6 separate regions of the Mus musculus genome follow, and regions 1, 2, 3, 5 and 6 are each reported to be linked to region 4. Evidence: microRNA targets listed by miRTarBase, many of them from high-throughput screens and not tested one by one. Region 4 holds a microRNA gene; each other region holds the end of a gene's coding sequence.
The links. The annotated mature microRNA mmu-miR-30e-5p reads UGUAAACAUCCUUGACUGGAAG and lies in region 4 at 1,889-1,910, opposite strand. An mRNA with a match to its seed (bases 2 to 7 or 8) in the 3' UTR can be bound and repressed. Matches are read on the target gene's strand: a 7mer-m8 pairs with bases 2 to 8, a 7mer-A1 pairs with bases 2 to 7 and ends in A, and an 8mer does both.

Region 1 (4,094 bases), not on the chromosome of region 4:
CACGCTTATCCTAGGAACCCGGTCTCTCACACTGCTGTTGCCAAGCTTCTACCCAGTGCTGGGCAAGTTCCTTGCTAGAGGAGACTATGAACACTCCGAAATTCAGAATGTCTGTGTGGGGTTAGGGCCAAGGTACAAACACGGCCACTGGTAATCCCAGCCCTATGCATGAGAGCATCAGGCAGTAGACAGGTGGAGCAGGGTACATATTCCCTTAGCTGTGCACACACCGGCTGTACCAGATGTGCTCAGGAGTTGGGGCTGGGGGTGGGGTATGTCCAACCCTTGGCTGCTAGGGGCAGGTGGAGAAACCTGCAGACACTTCTGACCATCAAGCCTCAGGCAGGTGCTTGGTATGTGGTTCCCAAGTCAAGTCACCAGCAGAGGGGATATCAGATGACAGGCAGAATTTGCATACTGTAAAACCAAACTGTGAACAACTGAAAACAGAATAAAGCCAGCAATCTTCCAGAAACTGCCCGGGTCAGACTCTCATTTTTTCTTTGTTTGCAAAATAAATCCACAAAGGCCTGGCTGTAGGAGATGGGCAGGGATGGGGGATGGGCCTAGGTGTGCACCCACCCTTCCACAAATATACACGGGGGTGTGGGGTGGGAGGGTTAATGTCTCTATAGACACCACCTACCACTACCACCATGACCAGGGCCACCTTCTGAAAGGTGGAGACATCTTGTGCCCCACTCCTGGGTATTGGCTTCTTCATGAACTTAGACCCAGAGACAGGAAGAGCACAGGCTCCTGGAAAAATGGGTCTTTTCAATGTGAATATACTAGCTGCAGGTAAACAAGGCATGGGAATGTGTCTTTAGAATGTCTAAGTTCCAGCTAGGTAGGAAATGCTGGCCATGCTTTGAAACCCAATGGGACTCTTCTTTGGGCAGGAGGCTAGGAGACGGGATACCACCTGCTGTTGGTCTGGAGGGATGTGTGTGTGTGTGTGTGTGTGTGTGTGTGTGTGTGTGTGTGTGTGTGTGTGTGTTGTTTGGGTTTGGGGCTTGTGTTTTCCTTTCAGAAGGAACTGGGGGCATAATAAAAAGCACATTAGAGGCTCGCTCCAGGCATAACTATATACATCATTGTTCCTGTGTACCCCCAAAAGTGTCCACTCTTAGTAAGAGCTCAGTGGCCAATCAACTAACTAGGCACACCGCCTTCAAGCATCTTTTCCTGACTAGGAAGTGGGTTCAGGATGCCCCCCCCCCCGACCCCACCCCACCCCGCCAGGGCCTGTGTTTGCTCCTGTGTCGCACAGGGAAACATATAGAACAGATGTATATATAGACCGTTGCTTGCGGTCCTCAGGAGGGATGGTGACAGATCAAACCCCTAGATACACACCTTTCCCCTTGGTGGGATACAAGCTGCTGGCTGAAACGTCAACTGTAAACACATGGTTAGGCTGCCTTAGACAGGGAGGTTTTACCCAGAAAGCAAGAGACAGTTCAGCAGGAGGAGCGGAGGCTCACGCCTATGCTCTTAGCACTCGGGAGCCTGAGGCAGAGGCCACACTGGGCAACGATAATCCTATTCCAGGCCAGCTAGAGTGTGAAACCTTGTCTCAAAAAAGAAGCCAAAGACACTAAACTTTAAAAGATTCTTCCAACACCTCACTGGGCCCTCTCTCTCTCTCTCTCTCTCTCTCTCTCTCTCTCTCTCTCTCAAGTAACAAGGAAAAAAAAAACCCAGACAGATACTTAACAGACCCTAAGAAGACAATAGGTAATCAAGACCCGAATAAAATAAGTTAATATTTATCAAAATATTTTACAGCACCAATCTACATAACTTTAAATACCTTTAGAAACTCAACATGTAGGGTCTTATAATACTCCCTTTGCAGTGTTTTCAGGCAGCCTAGGAGACAAAGTGCCTGGACGGTGGTCAGGGCCTGGCTCTTGGATGCTCAGCTGTCCTCCACTGGCTGACCCAGCAATTAGGTGGTTTCTCTAATCTCCCTAATTTTCCATACGTAGTGCTGGGGGTGGAAGCTGAGGCCCTGTGTAGGCTGGGGAAGTGTGCTACCACTAGGCTACACGCCTGTCCAGCCCCACTAACTCTTCCATTCTCAAGAATCTTCCAAAGCAGAGGAAAGACAGGGCCATCAGTCTACCTACTCAGCCTGTTTCCACCAGACTTGGGTCAAAAGCCAGACAGAAAAGAAAGCTTGGCTTTATAAACAGCATTAACATTAGACTAAGACACTAGGCTTCGCCACCCCAATATGGTGGAAGGGGGATGTGGGGTGGGGGAAGGGCACCCTGCTGGTTCTGAGAATCCACCAGCACTCTCAAGCAGTTTCTATCTACAAAGAGTAAATGAAGAGGTGTCAGCCCTCAGGCCACACCCCGAGAGATATGGAGCGTGGGGTGGGGGAGGGGAAATGAAGGGGAATAAGGTCCAGGCCAGGGTGGAAATCTCACCAGCAGCAGGCAAAGGCACCACAGCTACAAGAGGAATAGCAATAGGACCCCAAGCCATCTCCTGCGCAGGCCACACATCTTGAACCGCAAGCTGATATGGCAGTCGGTAATGATTTGGCTATCTTCCAAGGTAACATTAAGCCCCAAGTTAATCCAGTGGAGTGATTCACAGCAAGCAGCAGGGGGAGGACTCCGCAGTACTCCTTAGATGTAAAAGGCCACACAGATCACGTCAGTGGCCAGAAAGGCGTCACCACCCCACATTGAGTGCCACCTGTCTGAAGAACTTTAGAAGACCCGAGAGAATGAAATAACCCTACGGATACAGCCTTGTGTTCCAGTGACTCAGGACAGTGGGGACAAGGCGCCAAGAGCAGCAAAAGCCAACCCAGGCCTGCTAGGAATGAGACCAGAGAATGTCACCCTAGTCCACGCGGGCTGAGCTGGCCGTCTCATCTCGACACTACTGGTCACTCCAGGGATCTCCCGTCTTCTGTGCTCGAGATGAGCGGCTCACACCTGAACGGCTCACACCGTGCTGTGTTCTGCACAGATGCTTCTGTGCAGACCCGGGACCCCATCCTACCACCCCAGCCAGAAAGCAGTAAGATGTGGGCCTGTTCCTCCTCTTTAGGTATTCTGTAGTTGATGGGCTGTCGGGCAGCACTGTTGGGGCACATGCTTCCTCGCTGGGATAGTCTTGCATCTTGTGGTCAGGAGACTGTCCTGGGCTGACAGGGAGAGGCTCACTAGCCATCTGGAGTGTGCACATGGGCGATGCCAGGGTGGTCCCAGGGAGGGAGGGAGGCCTGCTTCCCAAGTGAGAGGAGAAGGGGGCCTCCCTTCTGCTGGGGCCGCAGCAGCGAAGCGCCCGGCCGGCCGGCAAGGAGAAGGGCTGCTTTCTTTGTTCAGAGGGAGATGAGTAAACCAAGGGACTGTCCAGAAATGACCAGGATCTCACGAGCTGGCAGCAAACCAGCTTTGGTGACATTGGGGGTGTGAGCTGATCCTGAGGCATGAGTGGAGAGATTGTGAGGGTCCCAGGCTTCTACGGGCACCCGTCAACCGCTGTCACCCTGGTGGGTGGGGCTGCACGTCATTTGCACTGGTCCAAGTTGCTGTCAGGAGTCTTTGCCTGGCCAGCAGCCAGGGACGCTTCCTCACTGTGCCAGATCCCATAACCGAAATAGATGGTGAAACCTACGGGGGAAAAGGGGACAGAAGGGTGAAGAGTGCAGGCAGGGCTGCCAGACCCGCAGGGGGGGCCCAGGTAGACTTCGACACCCGGAGAGGCGACACACGGCCCCGGATGGGATTAGCCAAAGTCACTGTCCTGCTTGCACTGTGTATATCCTGGGCGGTGCACAGGGGCTTCCCTGAGCAGCAGGCTGGGTGGAAGGTCACAGAAGACGTTGAGCTGTTTTCCACCACTAGGTGGCATCAGAGTACCAGAGAGACACTGTTCCTTCCCAGGTTGGGACTTCCAGCCTAGACTGGCTTAGTAGCTCTGATTTTTTTTTTTTTTCCTAAGTAACCCATTAGACTGAAGGAGACAGTCAACAAGGGCCGTACACAGTATTGACCCAGCATCCAGGGCTCTCCACATCTGCAGTGATGCTTTAAAGGACTGACCCACAAGGGACTGTGAACACA
Region 2 (4,094 bases), not on the chromosome of region 4:
CAAGTTCCAGTCACTTCCGAGATGGGGCCTTGTCCCTCCATTCTGAACCCTTCTCCAAGCAGGCTGTGGCTGATCGGGACTCAGGAGCTGGGGAACTGATGGTTTAGGTCTCCTGTTTGTCGTGCTGCCCTGAGCCGATTAGGGAAACCTGGACTTGGGTGTACAAGAAGTCTGAAAAGCTGGCCATGAGCATGCGATCATCTCCTTATGGGTAAGTTGTAGGCCAACTTAAATTGACACGTCAATGATCAAACTGCAGCAGAGTGTGTACATTCCTCCTAGCCTGTTCAGACCTATTCTCATGCCTCAACTTCATGGTTTAGATGTGATGCATCGAAGCTCAAGAGTATTAGGTACAGGAGTCAGTTGGATCAGGTACAAGTTCACTGTCCTCATTCTTCAAGATTGTCTTCAAAAGCAAGAGCAATTTCTGGCCAGGAACCCACCTCTGTTCTGCCAGCCATCAGTATTACGTGCAGCTGGGGAAAGGAATACTAAAGAGAATGACAAGGGCCATGCAGCACTCTGTTGAGACTCCCCCTTTGTCGGTCCTTGTTTTCTTACCTGTGTAAGAGGAGAAAGGCAAGCTATGGAGTCTTGAAGACTCCTGGGCTCTGACTGAAACACCATCGAGTTTGTGCTACCACCCCCTTCCTCTCAAGTGGCAGCACATTTTTTGATACCTAACCCCCGCACTGGTTGCAGTGATATAGTACAAATTTGTTAGATGACTTTCAAGACCCTCTGACTATAAGCCCATCTCTTCCACTTTCTTCCTCCTTAAGTGCCACAATGAACATATTTGGGAGCAAGTGGCTTAAGGCCAGGTGTAGTGTACACACCTCTAATGCCTACACTTAGGAGGTAGGGGCAGGTAAATCTGAGTTGAAGGCCAGCTTGGTCTATATAAGAAAGGACTCTACACTGAGAGATTACAGATTAAATTGCTTCAGTGTTTTTTTTAAAAGATAATATACAATATATCAGGTAAATTAGGGCACCTTGGAAATGGGGAGAGGCATACTGGCTGGTTTAACAATGATTACTGGATTCCTGTAACAGGTACAGAGGTGTTACTCAAAGCAGAGCCAGAAAGGCTCCATCATATTAAATGACAAGAGACACTGTAGGTAATAATTCTGAGAAAAATAAAATTTTTTAAGAAACTACTGGTCTATAATACTGGCACTTTGAGTCTCAGGCAGAATTGAGAATCTGTGAGACTGAAACCAGGTTGGGCAATATAGCAATTTTATTCTCAAGAAAAAGGAAAAACAAGGTTTGTTTACTGAGACAGACTCCGTCTGTAGCTCAAGATCTAACTGCCTCAACCTCTTGAGGCTGGGGATTACAGGTATGGGCCATTATACACTGCAGAAACATCCTTTTCTATTGTGTATTTTGTGTATGTGAATGCAGAGGATAACTGCAGGAGACAGTCTTTCCTTCTACTATGTGGGTTCTAGGGATTGATAAATCAAGATTGGTCATCAGTGCTTACCTCTGCTAGCCCCAAAATATAGTTTTAAAATTGTACTTACCTTTTTCCTTCTTTGGACAATGCCCCCCTCCCCCCAACTGTAACAAAAAAATCTGTATTCAGACTCTAGCAAAGTTATATAATAACAGCCTAAAAACATCACTTTACTTACTTTTTTTTTTTTTCTTTTTTTTGAATTTACGGTTTGATTTGGTGCAGTGCTGCGAACTGAAGCCAAGGACTGGAGCACACTAAGTACATGCTATACAACCCAGCACTGTATAAAGGGACTTTTAATTTTGAACAGCGGAACACTCCCTTTGGGATACGGATGTGAGCCCTTGTGATAGGTAATACAGGCTGCATGGACTCTCAGCACTCATCACATACAAAGTGAACTCAAATTACTTTACCTTCTACAAACAAAATCAAGGATTCACAAACTATGGCATTTTATTTCAGAGCTTTTGCTTACATTTGTACAATATATTACATAATTCATCATGTTTGCAGATCCTAATATATACTTTATAGTTTTATTCTATAAGTTTTTTCTTCAACATTTTGCTGTCAACAAATCTTTACAGTCTGTACAAATTTGAGTAATTTGAAATCATTTTTCAACAAAATTAGTTACTGTAAGCACACATTACAAGACTGAAAATGCTTTTCTTAGAAAGGTTCAATGTAAAGGATTAAGGATTCTGACACGTTAGCATCTACAACAAAACGCTTCGAGATTCTCACATGTATTGCCAGAAAACAAATAAAACATGCCAGCCTCATTCAAAAAAAGCACACAGAATCACAATTAAAACAGTAAAACGGTCTGTACAGTGAAGTACTGTGTATTAACAGCGCCAGGTTTTAAATAGCCTCAATGAACACATCCGCAATATACAAATGTATTACAAAGGTGGGGAATTAAATACAAGTGCCAAACAGAGATTGGAATCATACAACATAAAGTCAATACAAGTGAAAACAGCTTGGCGTTCATTCTGCAGTTTATACAAGGCATTGAATTGTATAGGCCTACTACCCAACTAGCTACTTATACTTAAAATAATAACCATCTTTGTGAGGCAGGTCATATAAACAACCTTGAACCATTCTAACAGTTTGTTCCTGAAGTCTTTTTGTTGTAAGCTCATAATAAAATAAGCAATACAAATGAATTATCTGTATTTAAGGGAAAAGAAACATTTACAAGAAAACACAAAAATATAACTGTTATAATTCATTATGAATAAATATACACTTTGAACTGGCTAAGTACAATCTTTATACATTGTTTAAGATTTAATACAGTTTATTAGCCATTTTCTTTTTTCACACAATGTATTATATCAAAATTAAAAAAAAATACTGATTTATAGAAAAATGGCAAAGTACAGTAGTCCCATTTCAATTTGAAGGGGTGTGAAAAGCCACCACAGACCTTTTAGCCTAATTCAAACCTGTAAACATGTTCAGTCATTTTTAAAGAGAATCTTTAATATTTGGTTACCAGGATGATGTCTAATAATATCCTGTTAACTAACTGCAAGTCTTGAATTTGTTACATGTGCTTGACTTATACAATTAAAGTCACCCTAAAGTGACTTGCTTTAAAAAACAATTAGCTTGTACAAATGAAAATAGGTTCATATTTTTAATAAATGAATGGAAAAATATCAAATGTTCCAGCTTTAACAAAATACAAGGGAATACATATACAGTAAGTCTTCTCACATGTTCTGGCCCACCTTTTCTCTGCCTACTGTGTCGTCTCTACAGGCAGTGAAAAGCCTCCTCTGCCACAGTGGAAGGCCTTCAAGTTACCAGACACACGCAATTCCCAGACAAGTTGGAAACAATTATTGCTTGAGGAAAAGCAGTTCGTTGTACTTTTTCTTCATAAAAAAAGTGCACTTAAGTGCCAAGTCAGCTTGTCAAGAAATAATTTTTAAATATAAAATAGTGCTTGTCTGATTTTGTGTGTTTGTGTGCCACTGTGCAGTATAAAAAAAGATGTGGCCCTCAACAGCCATTAAGTGCAAAGTGCTCTAGCAAGTCCTGCTGTCACCTGCACTCAACTGACATTCCATTCTGTGATGCACTGGACATTGATGGTTCAGCTAGTGTCAACATAACAGCAGCTGTGATGGAGCTGGACGAGGGAGAAGAGGAGGAAGAAGATGTAGCAGCACCTGAGAAGAAGGAAGAGCACACGTGAGGCTACAAAGCAGGCTGCACTGGGAAGATGCAAAAAGCTCACTCAGCTTCAGCCTAAACTTCTCTTGTGTTCTCCAAAGTCAGTGTATAGGAGCCATCCCTGCACAAAGTACCACAGTATAAAGAAAGGGAAAGCCAGCAGCAGACTGTTGCCCATCTGCAAACCACAGACGGCAGAGCTCAGTGGCAACGGACTTGATGGGATTACAAGGACATTGGTTCTATTCCTAGCCCTGTCAAAGGAAAAAGAAAGCAAGGTGGAGAGGGAAGAGGGAGGGGAGGAAAGGATTTGTGTATACATACTGCAGAACACATAATTAAAGAGTAACTTTGTTCACTAACTACCCACACAGTTTTGAATGAAAACAGGAAAATTGTCTGTCTGCTACTTTTCTAA
Region 3 (4,094 bases), not on the chromosome of region 4:
TACAGGACCTTCGACTGAAGAGCTGATACTAAGGAGTAAAGGAAGCCTAAAATTGTACCTGATCAGCAGCGACAGACAGGCTTGCAATGCTTGGATTTAGAATGTATTCAGAAGATAATTCAAATAGGTTGATTTGGCTTATAAACATTTCACATATAATTTTTTTGCTTTTCCAGAGCCCTACCCCTGACTAGCCTCTTTCTTACACTTTCCTTCTCCTGTTGGGTAGTAATTCCTGGAAGACATCGGAGACTTGCAGGCTGGTGTTGTATTATTTAGAGTCAATTTGATTTCAAAATTGAATATTTCATCTTGTTGAATTCATTTTGAGTTTGGACTTATACGCTTATTCAAAGTGTACCTACCCTGAAATAAGGTACTTAGAGAATGTAAGTATTTCAAGGTACTGTTTTTATACAGCATAGAGTAAAACATAGCGAAATTGTTTCAGATTTTTGGCTAATCATTTCAACGAGGTCCCTATAACCAAGTGACCAGAAACTGGCTGCTCCTGTTGGATGGGGGAGAGAGCCTGATCAGGATTAAAACTCACCCTAAGGCATGAATTTGTGATATTGAGTGATCAGCTACTCATCTTGGCATATTACACAGCCCATACAGACTTTCATTTTCCAACATTGTTCTCTCTCTCTATTTTGTATAGGTACACAACAAAACATTTGAATGATGAGACTACCTCCAAGCAAATTAGGTCCATGCTGCAGTAAGAGCTGTGGAGCAAGCCCCTACTGCAGATGGAGCACACAGTGTTCTTCAGTGACCGAGAATGCACAGTCTTAGTGAATGCCATCAAATCTCCTTATTCTTGCTTTGGTTTCTTTCCTCTGTTCCTCTTCCCACTTTTTAAATCATGTTCTTGTTCTTAAGACTTCTTTTCTGTGCCAAAATCAGTAAAGTTATACTTTGAAAGGGATTTTGTCCTTTCAAAACAGGCCATCTAAGGCAGCTAATTACGCATTGCATTGAGGTCTCTACTGAGAAAAGTTCTGTGACTTGAACTAAATATTTTTAAATGTGGATTTTTTTTGAAAACTAATATTTAATATTGCTTCTCCTGCATGGCGAAACTGCCTATTCTGCTATTTAAAACCCTCATAAATTTATTTTCTACTGCCGCTTTTTCATGTGCAGCCAAAATGGAAATGTTTAAATTAACTGTGTTGTACAAATGGTACCCAACACAAAACCTTTTTTAAATTAGTAAGACTTTGTTTAAAGTTTTAAGTTTGCAGGTTGACTTTTTTTTTAAGGTTGTATGTTGTGTGTTTAACATTTATTAACTAACGTTAAAAACTGTGATGTGTGCGTAGAATATTACGTATGCATGTTCATGTTTAAGAATGGCTGTTGATAAAATAAAAATCAGCTTTCCTTTTTCTAAGTGTGGCTTGGTTTACTGAGGTTTCTGGAAGTTTTCCCTGTATATATTTCTATGGAATGCATATACACATTACATAATTTTTCTTTCTCTTAGGCAATAGCTATGTCTTTTTCAGTTGTTTTGCTTTACTTTTTGTCTATGTACATAAGTTAGACTGCTTTTAAAACTGTTGTGTATAAGATGACCAGTGATTGTGTCGACATTAACTTGACTTCTGTTCTGATTTAATCTTTGTGAGCGTAGTCATAGAAGGAAACCCGTACTTTCTCAGCTCTCGGTTTCAGGAATGAAAGGGCGGTGACAGGAAGCACATGGTGTCTCGAAGGCACGAGGAGCCCTTGACATTGGAGGAGAGTGAGCAATAAGAGTACTTCCAGAGGAAATAAATGAAAGTCCGAGATCTCACTGGTCGTAGGAAGTGACATGAGTTACAATTTAAAATCATAAAGCCCAAGGCAAAGAAATGTGTCTCAGTTGAGAGAAGCTGCTTGAAAGTTGTCGAATTCAGCCTTGTCAGGGACTTAATGACAAGGTGACCTGAGGTGGGACACAGTTAAAGTGCTTAACCATGGGAGATGATCACAGGCTGCCCTCTGGACCCTCTCCATCAGAGCGCCAGATTGTGGTGCACACGGCACTTGATGGTAAAGTTCCTGTTGACCTCTCTGGCCTCCTGCTTACTCGTGTTCCACTTCCTACCCTGCTCTCCAGCCAAGCTTAACTACTTGCTGTTTACAGATTGTTCCGTGTGGTGTTGCTTCGTAACTGATCTGGCTACAACCTGAACCTGGTCTTCCTTCTTCTCTCCTTCATGTTTGTCTGACCAACACCAGCTGTCATCTTTCAAAAATCAGCTTCTTTTACTTCCTCCAAAAACCATTTAGATGACATTGGCCATGTCTTCCAGGAGGCTTCTACAGTGTTATAATGGGTTTAATAGTTTACTCCATAAAGGGTAATGTCTGGAACCTGTACATATGGCCTCATTTTGAAGAAGGGCATTTTCAGGTGAATGTAAGGACCTATGTATGTATGGCATCGTCCTGGATGAGAGTGGGTCCTAGCCCTACTGACAAGTCCTTTTAAGAGAAAAGAAGGGGAAACAAGCAGTGGAGGTCCTGGGAGGATAGAGGCAAAGGTAACATCATATCTTGAAATTTCCTGGACCACAGAAGCCAGAAGAAGGTCATGGAACACTTTCCATCAGAGTTTCTAGAAGGAAGCGACCCTGTTGCTGTTTTTATTTCAGACTTCTATTATGATGAAAAAAATAAGTTTCTATTCTAAGCCACCTAGTTTGTGGTAATTTGTTACAGTCAACTTAAGCATTGAATACAACTGTCTCACAAAACAGCCTGATACATCACTACACTTTTATATCTTCTCTGATACTCATGAGAAGTTACAATGTCTAGATGCTGCAGAGACTGAGAACCTGAGAAGAGCCATGTCTTATTCCTTCAGTGTCTCAAGCAAGGATCTTGCATAGTACCTAAATATGGAGAGCTGCCAAGTGAGTAATTGAATGGAGTGAGTGAGGACTGATAAATGAAGTAGATGTAGTAATCCTGCTGTGGCCTTTCAGGTAACATGGTTCACACTCTGCATGTTGAAGATTAAGTTGGCAAAAAAATCTTTAACTCTAGCCTAGGGGTCAGTAGCCCAGTCGGTGGGCCAATTCACCTCCCTCTGGACCTACACAACCTGTGAATTAAGAATGATTTTTAAAATGTCGGGAGAATAAAGGATAACAAATGTTTTTCTAAAAGTTGAAAAATATTTTGTAGCATGAGAAAAGTATATGAAATTCAAACTCCAGTGTTCATAAATAAAATTTTATTGAACATAGCCTCATTTGTATATATATATTATTTATGGCTATTTGCTCATTATAGCAGCATTGAATCAAATTGTGACAAAGATCTTTTGGCCATCAGAGGCTAAAGTATGTTCTGGCCCTGTATAGAATTTGCCAGTCCCTTTCCTTGAGAGAAGACGTTGGTTTGACAGCCTGGAGTAATAGGGCACACTGCTGCAGTGATGGAGGAGCTGCTGCTGGGCAGTGAGCTCAGCCTCAGGTCTGCTAGTTTCCATTCATGGAATCCAAGAGGCATGTGGGCATGGTCATCATTTTTTTTTCTCTGCTTAAGAAACTGCCTTTAGAGTGAGTGATTCTGTGGCTGGGCACAGCACAAGCCTCAGCAAAGGGTCTGCGTGTCCACTGTACAGAAGTTGACCCTGCTTTGCAGATACTACAAAGCTTGCCTCCTTTTGCCCCTCTGCTTTTCTTAAAGGATGTTTCTATCAGCATATATCCCAGCCTACTTTTGGACCATGTGCTCCTGGTTCAAAACAGGGTAAGCTACCATATCTTCTAGCAAAGCACACTCGTGATTATCTTCATCCTCTCCTTCAGTCCCTGTCATGGATGCATGGTGCTTTCAACTTCCATTTGCTCACTTCACAAAGATTTAGATTAGCATTTTGGGCCACCAAGATGGCTGCAAGTATTTTAGGCTGATGAAGATAATTGGCATCTGTGTGCTCAAATCTTAAGTTTCTGAATTGAAGTACTTTCTTAGATTTGAAATGCCTTTCTGGTTCTGTTTGAGATTTCAGTAACTGGCATGCCAGAAATTCTTAAATAGCCCCTCAACTGAGTGTGTAATCACAGACGACAGTGGAAAGACTT
Region 4 (4,094 bases):
GTGATCAGCTCTAGGTGTCCATAATTACAACACTGAACAAGGGTTTTGTTTTGTTTTTCCAAGATAAAAAGCAAATTCTTTAAATACTTCTGCCAGAACCCAAAATAGTGCTTTAGCAAAAGCTCTCAGGCAGGCAGGTAGCCTCTCCCATGTTTTCTACTGCATCCTCTCAGGTAATAATGACTTAGACAGTTTCTAGAACACTGTTGTCAGGACAAGCATGGCTATTTTCAAATTGCTGTGATGGAAGGAGGCACAAGTAAGGTTCTTCTGCTTTATGAAGCACTCATTCTGCAAATGGAGATCAAGCCAGCAGGAAATGATGATGCTTGATTTAAAGAAATGGGTGAAAAGATAATGACATTTCAATGAGCAAGGAACTTTCAACTCATAGCTTAGTCGGGGAGAAGTCAACCCTCAACTACCATCTACTTGCAGACAATCTACTTACTTCCATGGCAAAAAAGAGAGAGGGAGACTCCAAATCATCTCTGAGAAGCCTCATAATCCAGTGTCTCCCTTTCCAGATGGATCAGCACCAAGCCCTAGGAAAACACCTGACCGAATAGGTCAGTACAGAAAGGTACCTGCTCCATGCTAACACTCAGTACAGAAGGGTACCTGCTCCACACTAACAGTGGCTTCTCCAGTGCTGAGACTGAAAAACAGTGACAGTGAACAAACAGTATCACAGCACAGGGTCATCACTACACTGATGAGCAGCCAGCTCCAGACTAGGGGAAAAAATACATTTGCTTTAGTGGCAGGGTGAACTGCTGCCTCCTTCAGAGGGTGTGTTTTGGAGAGTAGGCACTTTTAAAGGACTTTAGGAGGTGCCAGCCAATTTGGAGCTTGGGAAAACTTCATGTCTACAGAGAATTAAAAAATGCTATCTTAGAATTTCAGGCCAGCTTTCAGCAATCTCAACCTTTTAAATGCCAGGCAGCAGCTGTCCTGAATAGGATGCCAATCAATAGCTCAAACACCTACAAAGAACTAAAACCAGGCAGCTAAAGGAGTGTTCTTGCTGTATACCTTTTAAAGGGAGATGGACTAAGTATAGTGGTCCATGCCTTGAATCCCAGCACTCAGGAGGCAGAAGCAGATAGATCTCTCCGAGTTCCAGAACAACCTGGTCTACACAGTCTAGTCTAGCCAGGGATACACAGGGAGAGCCTATCTCAAAAATCCAAACCAAACCAAAGAACAAAAGAGGGAGATGGGGTAGACCACCAGCAAATCTAACACCCTGACAGACCCAGAAGAACAAACAACTTTGGAGGAAGGTATAGGTCAGCAGCTCTCAACCTGTGGGTTGTGACCCCTTTGTGGGATGGAAAGATCCTTTCACATGGATCACCTAAGACTACTGAAAAACAGATAGTTGCATTAAAATTCATAACAGTAGCAAATTACAGTTATGAAATAGCAATGAAAAAAATTTTATTGTTGGGAGGTTATTACAACATGAGGAACTGTATTAAATGGTGCAGCATTAGGAAGGCTGAGAACCACTGGTATAGGATAATAACTTTCTCTTTAGTCATCTATTCAGCAGGCAGCCCATAGTGAACAATCAGTACAATAAGAGCAATGCCTGACTGCATCACAGATCTTACCACCTTGTCTTTAAAGGAAACTCCTGGTGGATACATGGGAGCAAAAATCCAATAAGGAAAACAGGCTCATGGTATTATCAGCTCCAAACGAAGAGAGACAGTCTGAGTTCTTGTGACTTCTCAGAGAGAAAGGAAGTAACCCAAGAAAAGGAGACAAGTTCATGGGCACAAACCTGCAATGTCTCAAAGCCGATGAGCGCAGCCGGGGACGACTGTGGCAGCCTGCCGCTGTAAACATCCGACTGAAAGCTCCTCTCAACACCTTACAGCTTCCAGTCAAGGATGTTTACAGTAGCAAAGACTGCCCAGAAAAATAAAGAGCTTCAGTGAGGCACAACCTGCTCCCATAAGGAGGTGACCCAGGGCTTGCTAACCCAAAAACCCTCATGCAGGGTCAGAATTAATGTCAATTAGGATGCCCACTTCTCCAACAGGTTTTCTGACTGGTTATTTGTACAGGTCAACATGGGGAGAATGGTTGTCATTAAATGACTCTAAACAGTATACTACAAAATAATTAGTTAAAAACACTTATATTTTATGAACAAAAATAAAACAAGCAGGACATGGTATGGCTTTACTTCTCTGAGGCATATTACACTAAACCTAGTGAATCATGCAAACTGCGTGCCTGAAACAATGAGCTCTATAGGACTGGGGTCTATCACAATCACAACTAAGTTATATGCACCCAAGTGCTGAACAAAACAAATGGTGTGATCTTTGGAGATGAACAGGCAGAAGAAGGGCAGACACTTAGTTCTTGTAATTAAAAAGAAAAATGTAAATGGTGGTTCTAAAACTTCACTGGACACCAAAGCATCTAGGGAACTTTAATTATTGATTCCTGGGGTCATGGGGTCATAGGTTCTGACTCAGTGGATGATGGGTAGAGTCATCACACTACAGAGACACAGCATAGAGTAAGAAAATAAAAGCCACTGGCTCCAATCTGATCACTATGCACAAAGAGGTTGTTTCTTAGAATCTGAAAACTGACTGGCTGAAAAAGCTTTTATTTTAGATGAAGAAATCCTGAACTGAGCTTCACCCCACTATCTGTGACTAGTCTTTTTAACTTTGTTCTCTCACTGCAACCCCACCCCAGAGGCACTGAGTTAAAAGTACCCATAAATGAGTAGAAGGAGATGCTGAGGATGATCTGGACTACGGAAGAGAACCACAAACAAGAAATGCTTTGGGTGGGAGGGAGGGAGGAGCTCCGGAGAGCATCTTGCCCAGGCCCTGGAGGTGGCAGCTGAGCAAATCCTCCCAGCTCACCTGGCGCTTTGGAGGTTTCAGTTCATCTCTTGGAACAATATCGATGAGAAAGTCGAACTGATCAAATTTTGTAATTGCCATGGCAATATCATTCCTCTGTAACAAAGAAAAACAAAGTTAAAAACTGGCCTAGGAAGAATCTAGTTCTTTTGGCTGTTATCCTTCAAGTAAAAGGACATGATCCTCTCCTATCCCCTAGTCCCAGTGTCTGGGATTAAACCTAGAGCTTTACACAAGCTAGACAGGTATTCTACCATTGAGCTATGCCCCAGCCCAAGGAGATGACTTTTAGACTGTACTAAAAATCTCTAGGTTTGTCTAGAGCTAAAAATAAGAACAGCTCAATTTATATCAGACTTGCTGGACAGAAATCAACGAAAGAGATACACATATCTCGTGCTCTAGGCCAGGACATCTGAGCCCTACTCACCACTATTTCTGCTTGTTCTGGTTTCAAAGCTTCCATAAAGTTGTAAAACCACCATCCTCTGGCTAATTCAGGACAAAGCCAGCAGTCTCAACTGGCATTCTGTGGTCCACAAGGTCAGCCCATCATTCACTTGTATGATCTTTTTAAAGGCCCTAAGCACTGTTTGTTGTTGTTGTTGTTGTTTTTCTTTTTACAGGCACTTATAATCCAGTCGCTTGATTTTTATGTTACCTATGGGTTTTAGTTTAGAAATCAAAACTGCACTGCTTAATGAATAGTTTAATCCGAATTTGAGCCTGAATACTCAAGCCTGAATTTACTATAGGTAGGTAGTGAACACAGAGCTGAAAAGAATGTCACAAGTGGACTTTCTCTTCAAGTCTGATATTATTCCCCTTCCTTTGAATAATAAAAATCAACACTTTTTCTCCCATATGATTTGTGTACTTTATTGAAAGTTTTAAGGTTAAAAAAACAAAAACAAAACCACTAAGCTCAAGTGAGTGATATAGTTAAGTATATATGGGAAAGTAATTTTTGAAATGTATTTAAAAATAGATCACTTTATGGCTGAAGTGAGAGGTATGATAAATTTGTTTTTCTTACTTTATTTATTTATTCATTCATTCATTCATTCATTCATTCATTTCCCCCCTTCCCTTCTTCCTCTTGCTCCTGGGCCCCACTTGCTCCCGGGACCCACTCACTCCAGTCCATAGGTTTTTTTGTTGTTTTTGTTTTTTGTTTTTTAAAAGTATTATTAT
Region 5 (4,094 bases), not on the chromosome of region 4:
GACCACTGACTACTACAAGGTTATAAATTCTGCAGCTCTAAACTCGGGCCCAGATCCAGGTCACCAAATGACAAGGCATCTACCATGTCCCATGTTATTAGACATGGTGGAAGAGGGCTGGGTTGTCGTCACCTTGGCTTGGAGCTGTAAGAGTTGACATCTACCACAAGTGGGTTATTCTGGAAAGCCAGCAGTCACACTCCAATTATCTGTTTATACTTTCATGGACCTAGTAGAAAACTTTGTGGTGTTAAGTAAGATCACCAGGGGCTGCTTTGAACTTCACTTAACTCTTAATTAAGTGGTATAGAATATGTGGGTGTGTACAAATCTCATTCTCATTTACACACACACACACACACACACACACACACACACACACACACACACACACACACACTCCAGGAAGGGAGTCCAAAATTAGTGATTTGTATTGGCACCTTCTCAGAGTACAAACATGGTAGCTGGGTTTCCTAAAACATGAAGAGTTGCTTTCTATAGTAATGAAGCAGGAGATATTTAGATAATGTTAGAAGACTACCATTACCTCCAACTCTGTCTAAAAACTTTACACTCTTGAAGGCCTTTATTTTCCTTTGTGGGGACTGTACCAAAAATCCAGCTCCTGGAAGGAACAATGAATACTTACAACATCTACTAGAGCAGAGTACTAAGGCCATCTTGATGTCTTTGAAAAAGAATTCCGAGTGTGAATGGGCATACTACACTGGGGGAACTGAAAGCCTTTCTCTCTCTCAATCTGTAGGTGAGTCATGGTGTGGGGCAGAGGGCTGACTGCAGAGCAGGGAGTGCTGTGCTCAAAACTGGTTCCATTGTTTGTTAGCAACTACAGACAAGTGACTTGTCCTCTGCACATCTACAGAGGCTCATTGCCTGTACTAAGGTTACTTACTCTTACTGGCTGTTAGAGCTGAGAAGTCAAGCACTTCTTGGAACTGCCCTAGATAGATATAACGGTATCAAACCAAACCAATGAACAAATTACTCTCAGCACTCAGAAACTTAACATTCAGAAGGTATCCAGGACTTGTTTGGAGGACCCAACTTATTTTAGAGACATTCATTACCTGTATCACTTGATGATTTGGGCAAACCCTGCTGTCCACAGTCTGTCAGGACACATACAACTCTGACAATCTTAACTCACACTGACCTGGAAAGGCAAGAAGCTTCGTTCACTATGGGGCACAAGGCCAAGTAAGAGGTCATAGCTTTGAGGACGAAGCTGATACCAGTACAGAAAGTATTCTTGTTCTTACATTGATAAATGCTGCCACTAGGAACTTAGGGATCTGGGCTAGGGGCTGCTGTGCTGTGTTTAATGCTTTTCTGGTTAAAGTTTTATCAGTGTTGAAGACAGCAGGAGCCCATAAAGTGAATCTGAAACCCTTACTAAGTAAAGGGAAAATGCTTTCCTTGAGGATTTCAGAGAGATGGTAATTTAAAGAGACAGGTTGGCAAATCTTATATTTCTGTTTATAACCACTGCATAAATGCTTGCATTCCCCAAATACTGATTTAAAGAAATAGCATGATTGGGTGGAGAGGCAATGATCTGTTCATTGCTAATATAAGGTCAACATGTAAAGATCAATGATTACTGAGAAAGACAAGACAAGCTTCCAAACTGTCAAGTCTTTTCAATCTTGTGATAGTTTACACTCTTTCTACAGTGGCCCTTCTTTTAAAATTTTGGCAGAACAGGATATCACTGGAGGTTGTCAACTCAAGATGTATTAAATTCTCCAGTCTTTGCAGACAGATGGTAAGACACCAAAATTGTCTAAGCCATCTACTAGCCACCAGCTGGGGAAAGTATACATATTTTTAGATCTCACACTCCGCTCTGCCCCAATATCCTTGTATGTGTGGTGAGTTTCAGTAATCCTAGCCTACAGCAGAGTGGCTTGGCAGTTTCCTGGCCTCAAAGGGATAAATCATTTTCTAGCATGCACAGGGCTGAACAATGACATAAATAGGACTCCTACAATAAGTCTATGCTGTTTCTGCCTCAGAACTATCCTGTACATACACATGTTAGCTGCCCCTAAAGCTTTGTGATAAGTACACAGGCAAGCTGGCTGACAGGAAAAGGGAGATGTACTACTCCAAGGTGGACTCCTTGGATCTGGAAGTCTAGACCTTGATCAACAGCAACCCCAAGGCTGCCTGAATCCAGTTCAGACAAAATCTCAAAGTGAACATGGAAATACCACACAAGCAGAGGAGATAGAATCACTGTCCACTTACAAATATGAGTTTCCTTCCAAGTTTCCTATTTTAGTTTAGCACTTTAGGTGTATGAACATTCTCTTGTATAACATAAGCATTTGTTCCATTAAAAAATATGGTCATCTCTTGACTTCAAATCATTTGGAAAGAAAAACTGATGTCTCAAGAAGATGTGGTGCTTGTGAGCTTGCAGTTAGTTGGGTATCTCCCAGCACACTTACTACTTCCTGGATCCTGAAAAGCATGGTTGTAAGAGACTGTGATCTGGGAGTGTGGGAAGGCCAGGAAACCCAGCTCTGGAGCATGCCTGGACATGCTACATGAAGAGAAAACTGGGCTGTGTGAGGTGAGCTGACGGCCTGCTGCAGGGGAAGGGAGGATTCCAATTATAGTAAATAGAGGAATGTTTGCTAGCTGCCAGGGAGGGACAAGGATTCCCCTCACAGTGCACTGACCACCATAGACTAACCTCGGAGTGAAACTGCTAAGTTTTACAGTGACAATCTCCACCTGCCAATATACATGCCAGCCTTTTATGTTGTGACAGGCCTGTTAATCCACACAGCTGGCCGAAGAATTCTGGGTTTTATCAGATGCTTTAGTGACCATTTTGGAAAATTGAGGCAATCTGAATTCTGAAACACTGATTTCAACCTTTAATCAGATTTCTGTGCCTCACCCCAGTCCTTAAGGTCATTTCCTTTCTACCTTTTCAATCATTTTCCCATTTCCACAGCACTGAATTATGAAACTTAAGTCCTAGATAACCTCACATACTAAAAATATCTTCTTTCTAGCTCTGGACTCTTTCTCCAACCCTATTTTAACCCAGTTGCCCTAACACTTTTCACAGAGGCAGAACTGGACTATGACAGACTGCCTATTGAGTCAGTTTGGCCCCACTTGGCCACATTTGCTTTAAGCTTCAGTACAAACAAAGTGGGTTTGTTTTCTGTTTGCAGGTAAGGAAAACTGATATCCTTTCGAGATGTTCTAGAACCTTCCTAAGGAAGTGATAGTGTTGACTTGCACAATATTCCAGGGGCTGGCTTTCCTGAGTAAGTTCAAAGCAGCCATTGGGGGGTTAGCTGAAGAGCCCTCCAAGTTGATCAAAAGGGCTCTTCCCATGACCTACCACAGAGAACAAGAAGCACACAGTCAGAATGCATACAACCCCTGGTCCCTTGGGAACATGTGTGCCTGCTGTGGATCTGGGGACATTTCCAGTAGAAGAAGTTTGTTGCCTGGCAGCTTTCACAGATATCAGAAGCCATTACATACACGCTGTCACACACACACGGGGAAGGGGCGTTTTCTGCAGGGAATGCTAAGTCTTCATGTGTCCTCTTCTTCACTGGCACCGCTACAAAGGAAAAGGAGAAGCAAGTGAGTTCAAACGTCACAGAAAGGAGGCAACGCAGTACAGGTTGACAGCTTTGTGCTGCTTCTATCATGACTGAGCAGTAGGCCCACAGCAAAGTGTCTTAGTTGCTTTGATTTCTGATTTCTAAATTTAACTACCGTTGTCATGAAAATTTACAAAAAAAAAAAAAAAAAAAAAAAAAGGACTTACTATCTTGGGTTCTGGGAGAATCAATTAAGAACACGTGTAAAATACACAATGCCCAGTATACAACCAGTAAGTAAAAGAGCAGGAAGATTGTCAGACTGAATTTTAAAATTTTAATTAACAAAATAAACTGCTGGTAGAAACCAGTTTTATTTCCTCTAGGTGTTAAGACATCTATTATTAGATCAGAAAACCAATCATCAGCAGCATCAGCAGCAATCAATCAATTGCACTTTGCCTTGGGCAGAGCCAAGGTCTCATCCACGCTGTA
Region 6 (4,094 bases), not on the chromosome of region 4:
AATGCATATCTTGAAGGAGGAAGATTTCTATCGTCATAGAATATGAAGAGGATTTGTTTACTTCAAACTTGAGAAAACATTGGATTTTCAAAGTTATTTTTCAAAATCCTGAAATATTTCAAAATTACTTTTCAGTTCTTTGTTGCTATCATAGAAAAAATATTTCAAATGCTAAGAATGTATGCATGTGCTCAACAAAGCTGCTTTATGCTTGTAGCTGTTTTTCCATCAAGGATCGTACCTTTTCCTTTCTATCTTTTTTTTTTTAACCTTGTGCACGTGCACACATGTGACTCTGCTCAGGCCTCAGCTCCAGCAGACAGGCAGACACTAGGAGAAGCCTGAAGGACATAACCTGATACACATTTGTGACAGTGCCAACAGCTTGTCCTTATGGGATGAAGGAACCCCGATGGGAGAGGGGACCAGAGCAAGTCATGTGCCTGGCGGGATTACTAACAGCGCGTCTGCCTTTTCCTCTCTTCATAGCTTCCTGCAGCCTCCCAAGCCTCTGTCTTCACTCAGCACACTGAGGGATGGAAATTGGAGAGACGGTTGCTACTGATGCAGTTTTACGGACCCTTGAAGAATGGGAAGAAGTGAAAATGAGGGTGTGTTACCTAGCTGGCTGGGTAACCATGGATGCTGGGATGCTTTCCCCTTCACGCTAACCACACGCACGGCATCGTTTTCAGTGGACCAATCACCAGAGACTAACGAGCTCACCTACTCTCTGCCTGAGATACTGCGGCGTTCCCAAACCCGCGGCCGCGGTATCGTTACCTTAGATCTAGGAAGTTTTTGTAGAACTGCTCCGTATCTGAATACTTTTTGAGAGAGATTGAGGCGTATCAATAATGCTTTGCCATATGAGGTTTTTAAAAGTACCTTGTTCATTTTACCTACATGTTTTAAACACCTTCCATTACATGTTCTGCATTTTAATACATTGCATATTTACAACTAGGTTCTATAACATGGTTTGAATTTTAATTTTTTATAGTTTACAGGAATTTTATTTTTTGTGCCTATTTCTTTTTATGCCTATGTGAACCACTATGGAACAACTTAAATTTTGTGCCATAAAAATATTTTTGTGGTAAGGTACTATTTTTTTAGCTCTAGGGATATATCAGCAAAAACACACCATACGATTTGAGACATAATTTTACGTTGAACGAGCACAATTTAATCTAAAGCGTTGCAAGGAGACAGCCAGACGGCAGAGTTAAACGGTCTTGTCTTTTTCATTGTTAATTTATTGTCTTACATGAGTTTCATATTTATGATGGTATCACAAGCTCATTGCACTTAAGACCCGCAATGTTTGCTACTCAACCACACAATTGATTTTCAATACTTTATTACAAAGGATGAAACTGTAATGTTTTATTAACAATGCTTCTGGAAACGAATGCATTTTAAATAAATCTTTTTGATAGACCTTTTACAAAAACCCATTTGCACTAATGAATGCTTTCTTAGGGTCTATGACTTACTGTTTGTTACTGTGTACACTGCTGTTTTGGAATGTTCGGAAATAAAGACTCTATTTCAGCAATATCAGCTCACGCATGAATGTGCAGCATCAGAAGTGGGGCTCCCACGCCCGTGTTTCATTACAGCTGGGGAAGCAGGCGCCGAGGTGGTGTTCGTGGACGGGGGCGTGGCCGACACACTCGGAGAGCCCAGTTGTAAAGATTACATTTTCTCGTCTCCACAATTAGTTTGATAAGAAATCCGAGGCTTAGCTGTGTGACAAGATTTGGTCCCAGAAAGGCCACTAAGCAGAGTCTGTTGAGGACTGGGTTTTGAATGAGCACAGTGTCACTGGGGACCCGAGCAGCCTTGGGATGTTGAGTTAGAAAACTTCTCAGTGTAGGTAAAATAGGAAAATACTGCCACTGATCTGTGAACGGCCTCCTGTGAAGACAGCATGGCTTCACCAAAGCTGTGAAGGGTGTCTGTGGTTACTCATCAGCTTTTAACTTTTCTGTACATCGTTCTATACAGAGCTGAAACAGCTTGTAGAAGTAACATTTACTGAAAATTGATAGGTACCTGGAAATGGATATGAACGAGGAAATAATAATTACCAGGCGTGTCTTTAGTGATAACATCCATGTTAGGCAGTTTTACTTACATTAATTGACCTTAAAATCTATCAGTCACACTGTTATTCCCCCTTGAAGACTCTGCATCTCAGGCAATGTCAGCCTTGGAGAGCAATTGGCTGGGAATCTGTGAAGCTGCTTTTTGTCCGTCTGACTCAGACGTCGTTTTCTTTACTACCATGTTCTTTCCTGTGAAGATGTGTAGTCAAGTTAGCATATATCATAAACGTATACACACACACACACACACACACACACACACACACATATATATATATATATATACATATATATATATATATTTATATATATACATATCAGTTGATATATTTTATTCTGAACAGAGTTAAAGGATTTAATGGATTTTCAGTTTGGCTATTCCCTTTAGGGGTTAGAGGTGAAGGTATCTTCATCTTGGATTTTATATTCTTCTTCTCGAGTGTGTAAAACCTTAAACAAGTTACTAAACCACCTTGCTCCATCCTGAGAGTCGTGGAGCTACGTAGAAGTAGCTCAGGTAAGGAAAGCAGAGAAAACATTGGACATCATAAAAATCGCTTGTGCAAACAGACAGCTGGGCAGATGTCATGAACGCTCTGCACTGAACAAAAACTTAGAGCCTCGGTTCTCAAGAGCCTTCCTGATGTTTTTCGTCTGGAAATTCTATGTAACACAAAATCGTGGATGTCTTCACTCTTCACTGTAGGATACGCATAATAGAAGCATACTTAAAGCATAATATGTAGTGGATACGTGGATGGTCGTCATACTTGGTCCCCACAGCAGTAGCTGAAGTGTCTTTGGGGGATTTGGAGAACAAGGATGAGAGTCATGGGGATGAGATCAGGGAGGTGACAGCCAAGCCCAGGTAGGCCACAGTGAGGTCTTGGACTTTCCTCTGAAGAAGAATTTTGAGAATCAATCTCTGACTTGATGTACCGTGACTGGCATTGGTGGAGAATGGAAGGGAAGAGCCAATTGTGGACAGCAACATGGTGAAAGCAGAGAGCCCGCACACCTCGTCTGCAGAGTGGCATGCTACCACTTTTGCAGTCAGTTCATCAAAAGCTTATCACTAGGTCCAGTCTTCAAGAGGAAGGAGTTATGCAAGAGTGTAAGTATCTAGAGATAAGAATTGTGGAGGCCCCTGTAGAAACTGTAAAACATTTCTGTTACCCTCGTCGGATGTGTGCCCGTTTAATTTCCAAAAGTGGTACAGCTCCACACTTTTCCAGCAGTGTGTGAGAAGGTCCAGTTCTCCCAAGGTGATGGCATTGCTGATCTTTATATTTAAATTGGAGGCGTGTTAGTGTCTCTGTGGTTTTCATTCTCATCTTCTGGGGTGCTAGTGAGATTAAATATCCTTTCGTTTTCATTCATTTATTGAATGCTCATACATATTTATTTATAGATCCTTGTTCGGGCTCATTTTTCTATGGCTTTTATTGGTTTACAATGTTTCTTATTTTTTTCTAAAAGCCCTTTTCATTTATATGTGTTTTCTTTTAATTCTCTTAGGTATTTTGATGAGTAGAATTATTTATTTACTACAGTATGCCAGGCCATTGGGATTTTTGTTTACTTGAGTTTTTACAATTTTTTAAAAGAAGACTTGTGTGTTTTCTTGTGTGTGTGTGTGTGTGTGTGTGTGTGTGTGTGTATGAGAGATGGGGTCGGAGGAGAGAGAGGGGGGAAGAGAGGGAACATTCAAACAGGTTCCTGAGGAGTCTGGAGGTATCAGAGCACCTTTCTGAGCAGTTGTAACCAGGCTGCAGGCTGATGTGGATGCTGGGAACCCGCACTGGACTGGACACTGGTTCATAAATATTGAGCTGTCTCTCAGCCCTGCCATGGTTGGTTTGTTTGTTTTTTTAAGATTTATTTATTTTATATATGTAACTATATTGTCACAGTCTCCAGACACACCAGAAGAGGGCATCAGATTCCATTACAGATGGCTGTGAGCCACCATGTGGTTGC

Region 1: miRTarBase lists Slc7a1 as a target of mmu-miR-30e-5p. Seed matches in the 3' UTR shown: 8mer at 1,403-1,410 and 7mer-m8 at 802-808.
Region 2: miRTarBase lists Arid4b as a target of mmu-miR-30e-5p. Seed matches in the 3' UTR shown: 8mer at 2,942-2,949.
Region 3: the mRNA of Cyrib is a reported target of mmu-miR-30e-5p. Seed matches in the 3' UTR shown: 8mer at 2,132-2,139.
Region 5: the mRNA of Trim44 is a reported target of mmu-miR-30e-5p. The part of its 3' UTR that is shown has no 7-base or 8-base seed match.
Region 6: the mRNA of Slain1 is a reported target of mmu-miR-30e-5p. Seed matches in the 3' UTR shown: 7mer-A1 at 1,003-1,009.

The regions. Positions count from the first base shown.
Region 1 is chr5:148,328,903-148,332,996 of GRCm38, forward strand. Slc7a1 (solute carrier family 7 (cationic amino acid transporter, y+ system), member 1) reads right to left here. Exons shown (of 13, transcript NM_007513.4): 13 at 1-3,641. The coding sequence ends at 3,538. Among named protein-coding and RNA genes, the nearest start is that of Slc7a1, 69 kb to the right of the region's middle.
Region 2 is chr13:14,197,184-14,201,277 of GRCm38, reverse strand. It overlaps Arid4b (AT rich interactive domain 4B (RBP1-like)), which reads right to left. Exons shown (of 24, transcript NM_194262.2): 24 at 1,675-3,672. The coding sequence ends at 3,545. Among named protein-coding and RNA genes, the nearest start is that of Gm26129, 110 kb to the right of the region's middle.
Region 3 is chr15:63,928,250-63,932,343 of GRCm38, reverse strand. It overlaps Cyrib (CYFIP related Rac1 interactor B), which reads left to right. Exons shown (of 13, transcript NM_001360036.1): 13 at 665-3,250. The coding sequence ends at 728. Among named protein-coding and RNA genes, the nearest start is that of Gsdmc4, 18 kb to the right of the region's middle.
Region 4 is chr4:120,770,772-120,774,865 of GRCm38, forward strand. Mir30e (microRNA 30e) reads right to left here and starts at 1,926; the gene lies at 1,835-1,926. It overlaps Nfyc (nuclear transcription factor-Y gamma), which reads right to left. Exons shown (of 10, transcript NM_008692.4): 5 at 2,901-2,996. Mir30f (microRNA 30f) reads left to right here and starts at 1,835; the gene lies at 1,835-1,926.
Region 5 is chr2:102,300,889-102,304,982 of GRCm38, forward strand. It overlaps Trim44 (tripartite motif-containing 44), which reads right to left. Exons shown (of 5, transcript NM_020267.2): 5 at 1-3,616. The coding sequence ends at 3,589. Among named protein-coding and RNA genes, the nearest start is that of Gm34268, 56 kb to the left of the region's middle.
Region 6 is chr14:103,703,347-103,707,440 of GRCm38, forward strand. Slain1 (SLAIN motif family, member 1) reads left to right here. Exons shown (of 7, transcript NM_198014.3): 7 at 490-1,561. The coding sequence ends at 565. Among named protein-coding and RNA genes, the nearest start is that of Slain1os, 6.0 kb to the left of the region's middle.